Coturnix japonica: one gene and its partner. The protein of the gene in region 1 binds, or shares a complex with, the protein of each later gene. Links are inferred from orthologs where the notes say so. Each region holds a gene or a part of one and is shown in the gene's direction. Other genes may lie near its edges.

Region 1 (3,747 bases):
CACAGCTCGGGCTGTGGGATGCTCCCTGACACCAGGGTGATGGGCACCACTCGGCCCCGCAGTCCTCCCACCACCCACCCGTCTGTCCGTCCATGCCATGGGCAGCTCCCAGCCACGCCAAGGGCCAGGCCGCGGGGGATGCGAGCAGGCGGTGAGGGGGGGCCGGGGGCTCGCCAAGTAAATAAGAGACCTATTTTTATATGGGGGTGGTGGAGGCTGGGATGCTTTTTATAAATACTGTATATAAGAGTAGTTCTTTTTTAATGTGTCGCGCGGCTCTCGGGAGCTCCGAACCGTGTGCGGGATCGGGGCGGTGCTCGTCGTGTCACCCCGGTGTCCCCGCACCCACGGCCCCCCCACCCCGCCGCGCTGTTAAATTATATGTGGGGATGAGCGCCGTGCAGGAGGAGCGCGACCGAGCGGATCCGTTAAAGTAATAATAAAGGATACAAATGTGAGACGTGCCCGGTGTGGGGCGGGGGGGGGGGGACCGCGGGGACAGCACGGACGGGTGTCCGGGGAGGCCCGAGTACGATGCTGGGGCTGGGAGTGGGGACACAGCGCCAGCAAGAACGGCGACAAAGCGGGGTTTGGGATTCACGGCTCTGGGAAACGGGGTGCAATGGGGAGCTCAGCCTGGCGAGCGGAGCGGGGACGCCGGGGGTGGCTCCGTGCTGTGAAGCCGTGAGATGTGGCAGAATGAGCCACGGTGGGGATGGAGAAGGAGAGTCTGGGTCACAGCGCGTCCCATTGCACCGCCACCACCGACACCCCGTGCCCTGGGCATGTCTGCTGTGGGGCACGTGGCGCTGTGCATCATGCCTGCCCTGAAAGGACCCACAGCTACTCACTGCACATCTGTCCTGCTCACAGCACGGCCTGCCCCACATCTGTCCTGCTCACAGCACGGCCTGCCCCACATCTGTCCTGCGGAATGAACGTGGTCCTGTGCACATCTGTGCCGGGGATCACCGATGGCGCAGCCCACATCTGTCCGCACTGCATCACATCACATCGCATCACAGCCCAACCCAGCGCACCCAGCCCGTCCCCTTCCCTTTCCTCTCTCCACGCCCCCCGACGGAACCCCCGCCCTCCCCACAGGCCCCTCCCCGCCCCGCCCGCGCCGCGCAGGGCAGGGCAGTGCCGGCAGAGCGCGGAGCGAGGGGCGCCGCCATGGGCTGCACGGTGAGCGCCGAGGACAAGGCGGCCGCCGAGCGCTCCCGCATGATCGACCGCAACCTGCGGGAGGACGGCGAGAAGGCGGCCAGGGAGGTGAAGCTGCTGCTGCTGGGTGAGCGTGGCCGCCGCCCCCCGGGCATCCGTCCCCCCCGCTACATCCCGCACCCCCCTCCATCGCCGTCCCTCGGGCGGCTCCGGCGCGATTCCCCCACCCGTGATTTCCCACCCTCTTTTGGGACAACCCTCAACTTCCAGCTCCCCGCCGACCCCCCGCATCCCCGGGGGTTCCCTTCTCAACCCCCCGCCCTCCCACCCGAGGTGCTGCGGGGTCAGCCACGCCCCCGGGTCCCCATCGCAAAGGCCCCGGGTGGGATGCAGAACCCGCGGGCATCCCCCCATCCCCCCATCCCTCCATCCCTCCATCCCCCCATCCCTCCCCTCGCTGTTTCTGTTGCTGTTTGGAGCCGCCCCCCCCCGCTCCGGCCCGAAACGCAGCGTTTATTTTCTCCCATCTCGCTGTTATCTCTGGGGATGGGGGTCCCTTAATGCAGCCCCGGGGCGCTGGATGGGATCGGGAGGAGCATCCCTCCTTTCCCCCCTCGCCCCCCCCCGCTGCCGTCGGGGGGAAACGCCGGCACAAAATGTCTTTTCTCGTCGCCTCCTTCAAGAGAGGAAGCCGAGAGCAGCAGGAAGTCGTGGTGCAATCAGGCAGCGGCCGATCCGCTCCAACACCGTCCGCCTCGACGAGCGCGGAATGAGCGGAGAAGGGCGGAGCGCGACGGTGCTTCCCCACGGCGGGGTGCGGCGGTGGGGCCGGGCCGTGGGGGTCGGGTTATCGGTGCGAGGGGAACGGGAGAGAGCACCGGGAGCACCGGGAGCACCGGCAGCTCGGGACGGAACCCCGCGGCGTTTTGGGGCGGGCGCGTGGGGCTGAGACCCCGCTGCTGGGGCTGCCGTGGGCTCGGCCTCGCTCGGAGGGATGCGTTCGGCTCCAGGCCGTAGGGTTCCCCATCTCGGGATGGGGCGCAGCGATGCGGGGCTGGGAGCAGCGTGGTTGTGCTCCTTGTTGCAGGGTGAGGCTCCGGTTACTGATCTCGGTGGGTTTCTAAAGCCAAAAATAGAGCGAAACAGCTCCATTTTTTAGTCTTTTTGATTCCTTCCCCTGCCTCAGCAGCTGTTCAAGTGTAAACAGTATCGAAGGCCCTGAGCTCTCGGTGCTGCTTTCTAAACCGAAATGTGTCTGGAAAGGACTTGAGAGCCCACTGGGATGGCTCCTGGTGGGTCCCCATACGGTGCTTGGAGCCCCTCAGCTTGTCCTGGAACCCCCCCAGCTGCATCCGCATCCCCAGAGCACAGCACAGAGCACAGCACAGCACAGAGCACAGCACAGAGCACAGCACAGCACAGAGCACAGCACAGAGCACAGCACAGAGCACAGCACAGCACAGCACAGAGCACAGCACAGAGCACAGCACAGCCCCCAGCTGCTGCCCTGCTCCAGGCGGAAGTGAAACCGTGGTCCTGCAGAATCCTCTGTGCTGCTGCTGAAAGTGCTGTTGGTGTTTGGGGGATGGGGGCTGCCCGCCCGTCCTGCTGCTCTGCGCCCACCTCCCCGAGTTTCTCCCTTTCTGGCTGTTGTGTCGGTTTGATGGAGCAGCCCCAGGGGCTGTCGGTGGGCGCAGGACCTGTGGGCAGCAGCACAGAGAGGAGACCCCCCACCATCCCCTAAAGCTGGATGCATTTGGGATGCGCTCCTTGATGCTCCGCAGCTGCCCCGTGGGCTTTGTGGACACAGTGCTAACAGCCCTAAACCACACCGCCTGCTTGGCATTAAGGAAGAAGAGAGATTCCTTGGCTTCGCTCTTGGGGATCTCTGCCTTAGAAAGCGTTTGGGAAGCCCCAGATGCAGATGTTGCCCTCAAACAAAGCTGGTTGCAGGGCACATGGCTGGGTTTGCAGTGGGGGGCTCTTTGGGGCACGCTGTGCTCAGTGCTGAGGGTGCAGTTTCAGCCCCGTTGTTGGGATGGTTCCGTCGCAGGGTGGGGGCGCTGGGCTCTGTGGCTCCGTCTGTGTGCTCAGCAGCAGAGGAAGGGAGGCACCGGCTGCTGCTTTCAGCTCCGGCGCTGCCTCACGCACCCGCGGGTTTTCCTTCCTCCCTGCTCCCCACCCCACGCTCTGCTGCAGCCCTTTGGTGACATGGGGTTGCAGGGAGGTGCAGGGCTTTAACAGGGGTGATGGTTCTAAGGGAAACCTGACGGGGCCTGTGAGCCACACCAGGAGAGATGTGGCATCCCTGGGATTTCAAGGCCAGAAAGAGAGGAGAACGCTCCCTTCTTTCCTGGAAAAAGGCACAGGAATAGCTTTGTCCAGCTCGGAAAGCCAGCGGGGGTGTGGAGAGGGCTGTGCCCAGCCCAAAGTACGCCCAGCCCAAACCCTCCAACTGTCAGCCCCACACACCCTCCCCACAACGGGTTGTTTTGTTGCATCTGCTCCCTCGGCGGCCATGGATGTAGCTTTGCACCCTCACCAAGTTGCACACCCCCAATTACTCCCCCCAGGTCCAGG
Region 2 (3,747 bases), on another chromosome or scaffold:
ACAACTGGAAAATGGCCACATTGTTTTACTGGGAAGGCCAGCAGTGCATATTACTGCCCAGCCAGAGCACTGAACTCCAGGCTTTATCCCCACACCACAAGCAGGGCAGGGCAGGGCAGCAGGCTGCGCCTCATGTTGGGGCAGCACAGCTCCCATGATCTCTGCTACGGGCTACCAGACAGCAGTGTGAAAGCATTTACCACCCATTTCAGTAGTACTCTTCTTATTCAGAATCTTCAGGATGTCTTTGGTAATCTTCTTCAGCTGATGTCTTGCTTCATCACGCTCCTTGCCAACGCCGTAGAGAAGAATCATGCGCTGGTTACACTCATGACTTGAAGATTCATCCTGAAAAAAGCAGCAGTGAAGTCTCTCATCACTGTTCTGCCATGGCTTGCAGAAGCCCAGCAGCCCAGGCTGCAGCGAGCAATAACAAATGTTTCATTGCAAAAAGCATCTCCAGCTGTTATGGCCGTGGAGGAAACAGCACCAAGTGAAACTGCCAGGTTCAGAACACAGGGAACACATGCCAGCTGGTACCACACATCCCTATGGATCTACAAAGACAGCCAGGAGATGCACACCATGCCCATCCCCATCTCCGTGGCAGGCAGTGCTAAGCACGCAGAGCACAAGTCCAGCAGCTGCTCCTCACTTCTCTCACCGTGTACAACCCCACCAACAAGAAGATGCCGTCCAACACTTAAGACTGTATTTTTTATAAATCCCAAAGAAACTGAAACACATACAGTTTACTGAAACTCTAAGCAGTTACATTTAGTCTTCTACTACCACGTATCACACAGAGCTGATGCCAAATACCTAACTTTAAAACTAAGAACTGCTCAGCAAGTGATAAAAGGTGTGAATCTTTCTTACAAAATCTTACAAAATAAGATCACCTCCTCCAATCACTGCTTCTCTTTACACAATGAGACCACCCACAGTTTTCAAGCAAGGAGGGCCGTGTAGAAAATTAATAATAAATGACTCCACACAAACCACAAGGCACAGAGACGGGAGCACAACTCTGCACTCAGGAAAGTTGCACCAGCTTACGAAATATGCGATACAATCTCTTTTAAAAATAGCAGCTCTATTTGTAGGTCGAAAGCAGGAAGTAAACCTCTAATTATTTAGAAAACTCTATTTCTCTCTGTGTGTTCTGAAGGAAACAAAAGCAGAAGCGCTGATGGCGTCACCTGGGATCAGCAACTGTCCCCCCCTGGCTAAGGAGCCAGACCCAGCTCACCAGCGGCCCCGGCACAGCAGCAGCCCCAGCACAGCAGCAGCTACAGCCTCCCCCAGCTCCGGGCACGCACAGAGAGCTGCTGCTGCACCAGGAACCGCAGTGACACCAGTGCCACCGCAGAGAACAGCCCAGCACAGCAGCGCTGCTTGGCAGCACGCAACGGTAACCCTCTCTCTGATTTCTGCTTTTCTTCTGATCTTGCATACCTGGGAAATCCTTGCTCTGTTAGGACTGGATGTGGCAGCTGGATCTGCCACACACTTCAGGGCAGAAGCAGATTCCAATATGCCTCTCAAACCCTTATAGACAGAAAAGAAGCTTGGCAGCTCTGTGAGGGCCGTGTCGGGATGCTCAGGTGCTGGCTGACCTTGCTTACAAAGACAGAGCTGCTCCTGAAAGTGGCCCCTCTGAGGTCATGCAGTGCCCACCTGCCTCTCACACTGGGCACAGCACGGCCCTGCCAGCTCCAGGGCTGCCGATGGCTGCAGCGCCTGCAGTGCCACATTGCTCCATGCCATGGGGTCGGTCAGTGCTTTCTGCAGCACCACATTGGATGGAACAGCTGATTTAGAAAAGTGACAGGAGAAACTAGTTGTGATGCTGTAAATTAATTCCTACACAAGTAAAGCTACAAAAGCCTTCACAGACCACGCTGGCAAACCTGCACCCGCTGCAGTAACACAGCGATGTCTGAGTGCTGGCATCTCAGCTGCGGGGCACCTAGAAGCCTCTCCTTTGGGCAAAACCATGCTGGGAGCCTGCAGGGCAAGCAGCCACCCCTGTGTCTGGAGGACGTGTGGCAGGAGTGGCAGAGGTATCTGAGAGCAGGGCTGGGGTGCAGGCAGCCAGAGCAACAGAAACAAGGAGGGGCACTGAACTACTTTCACATCATCTTCACTCTGTCAAATCTGCAGCCAAAAGGAGTTCTGCTGCTACCTCTTCTCCACATTAAGGATGTGGAAAACAATGTTTGCCCTTTCTCCTTGTGAGCAGAGGATGCAGCTCAGGCAGTTGCTGCCACAGCCCCCACACAGCCAAGTACTGGCAGCCCCACAGCCCATCACAGTGCCAGGATCCTGCTCATCCTGCCCCACACCTCCACACAGCCCCTGCTAGGCCAGGACCCAACAGAGCAGAACAGCAGCTCCCCTCGGTCTGCCTCCTGGTGTGGCCATGCCCAGCACTGCCTGCTCCGACTCGCCATCCTGAGAGGAAAGCAATGCAGGTGGCAAAGTCCAACAGAAAGGCTCACTGCATAAAAATGAAAAATAGACTAAGAAGGCTGAAATCATAAAAGACAGAACATCCAGCTTCACTTCTTTACTTTTCTTCTTTTGTTGTTTTTGTTTTTTACAAGGAGGGTGGAAAAGACGAAATGCAAACAAAAGCCACAAGCAACTTCAGCCACTCTATCAATGGCAGCAACTGCACCAGCGATAACAGAATCAGACATGTCATCTTCCCTTTGCTTTACACCCTTCTCTTCCTGGTGGGTCTCACTATGAATGGCCTGGCAACGTGGATCTTCTTCAAAATATCAAGTAAATCCAATTTCATCATCTTCCTCAAGAATACTGTCATATCTGACATCCTCATGATTCTGACTTTTCCATTTAAAATCCTCAGTGATGCACAGTTGGTACCGTGGGCACTGAGAGGGTTTGTGTGCCAGGTCAGCCAGGTCATATTTTACTTCACCATGTACATCAGCATCTTGTTTCTTGGGCTGATAACCATTGATCGCTATCAGAAAGCCACCTCGCCATTCAGAACATCGACCACAAGGAGCCTCCTAGGTGCCAAGATGCTTTCCATGGCAATTTGGATATCGATGTTTACTCTTTCATTACCCAACATGATTCTATCGAACAAGAAAAAAACTCCTGAGAACGTAAAGAAGTGTGCTCTCCTGAAATCTGAGTTTGGCTTAGTCTGGCATGAAACTGTAAACTACATCTGCCAGTTTATCTTCTGGGTTAATTTAATGGTCATAGTTGTATGCTACATACTTATAAGCAAAGAACTGTATAAATCCTACCAGAGGACCAGGTGCACGGGAAGACCATCAAAAAAGTCTGTAAATCTGAAGGTTTTTATAATAATCGCAGTGTTCTTCATTTGTTTTGTGCCATTCCACTTTACCAGAATTCCCTACACTTTGAGCCAAACAAGAAATGTTTTTGACTGTTCTGCAATGAACACCCTGTTTTACTTAAAGGAGAGCACGCTGTGGCTGACATCACTAAACGCTTGCCTAGATCCATTCATTTACTTTTTCCTTTGCAAGTCGTTTCGAAAGTCCTTGCTGGGCATGCTGTGCAAGCACTCCACATCACCAGAACTGTCAGCTCAAACAGCGGCGCTGGATGAAAGAGACGACACTGAGGATACCCCGGTTTAGCACAAAGAACCACCCACACCCCTGCCTGGCCAGGGGGGGCAGAAGAATCCTGCTAAGGCTAACTACAATTTCACCTGCACCTTCACAAATTGCC

The links. The genes of interacting proteins can lie anywhere in the genome.
Region 2: the proteins of GNAI2 (region 1) and P2RY12 are in contact, whole or in part, in a cryo-EM structure (PDB 7XXI), measured with the Homo sapiens proteins. The link is inferred for Coturnix japonica from reciprocal best matches to the Homo sapiens genes GNAI2 and P2RY12. Residues at the interface, in NP_002061.1 of Homo sapiens: Arg24, Glu28, Ala31, Arg32, Leu195, Glu319, Ile320, Tyr321, Phe335, Phe337, Asp338, Ala339, Thr341, Asp342, Ile344, Ile345, Lys346, Asn348, Leu349, Lys350, Asp351, Cys352, Gly353, Leu354, Phe355; in NP_073625.1 of Homo sapiens: Phe59, Asp121, Arg122, Lys125, Thr126, Pro129, Phe130, Thr132, Asn134, Pro135, Ile212, Leu216, Ser219, Tyr220, Arg222, Thr223, Arg224, Val234, Lys237, Ile241, Leu301, Cys302, Lys303.

What each region holds. Positions count from the first base shown.
Region 1 is NC_029527.1:2,015,684-2,019,430, reverse strand, and holds the start of GNAI2 (guanine nucleotide-binding protein G(i) subunit alpha-2), read left to right. Parts: upstream 1-1,103; 5' UTR 1,104-1,176; coding exon 1,177-1,294; intron 1,295-3,747. UniProt on the Homo sapiens protein: Guanine nucleotide-binding proteins (G proteins) are involved as modulators or transducers in various transmembrane signaling systems.
Region 2 is NC_029524.1:20,910,641-20,914,387, forward strand, and holds the start of P2RY12 (P2Y purinoceptor 12), read left to right. Parts: upstream 1-1,085; 5' UTR 1,086-1,192; coding exon 1,193-1,414; intron 1,415-2,609; coding exon 2,610-3,653; 3' UTR 3,654-3,747. Other genes in the region: MED12L (mediator of RNA polymerase II transcription subunit 12-like protein), read right to left, coding at 201-348. UniProt on the Homo sapiens protein: Receptor for ADP and ATP coupled to G-proteins that inhibit the adenylyl cyclase second messenger system. Not activated by UDP and UTP. Required for normal platelet aggregation and blood coagulation.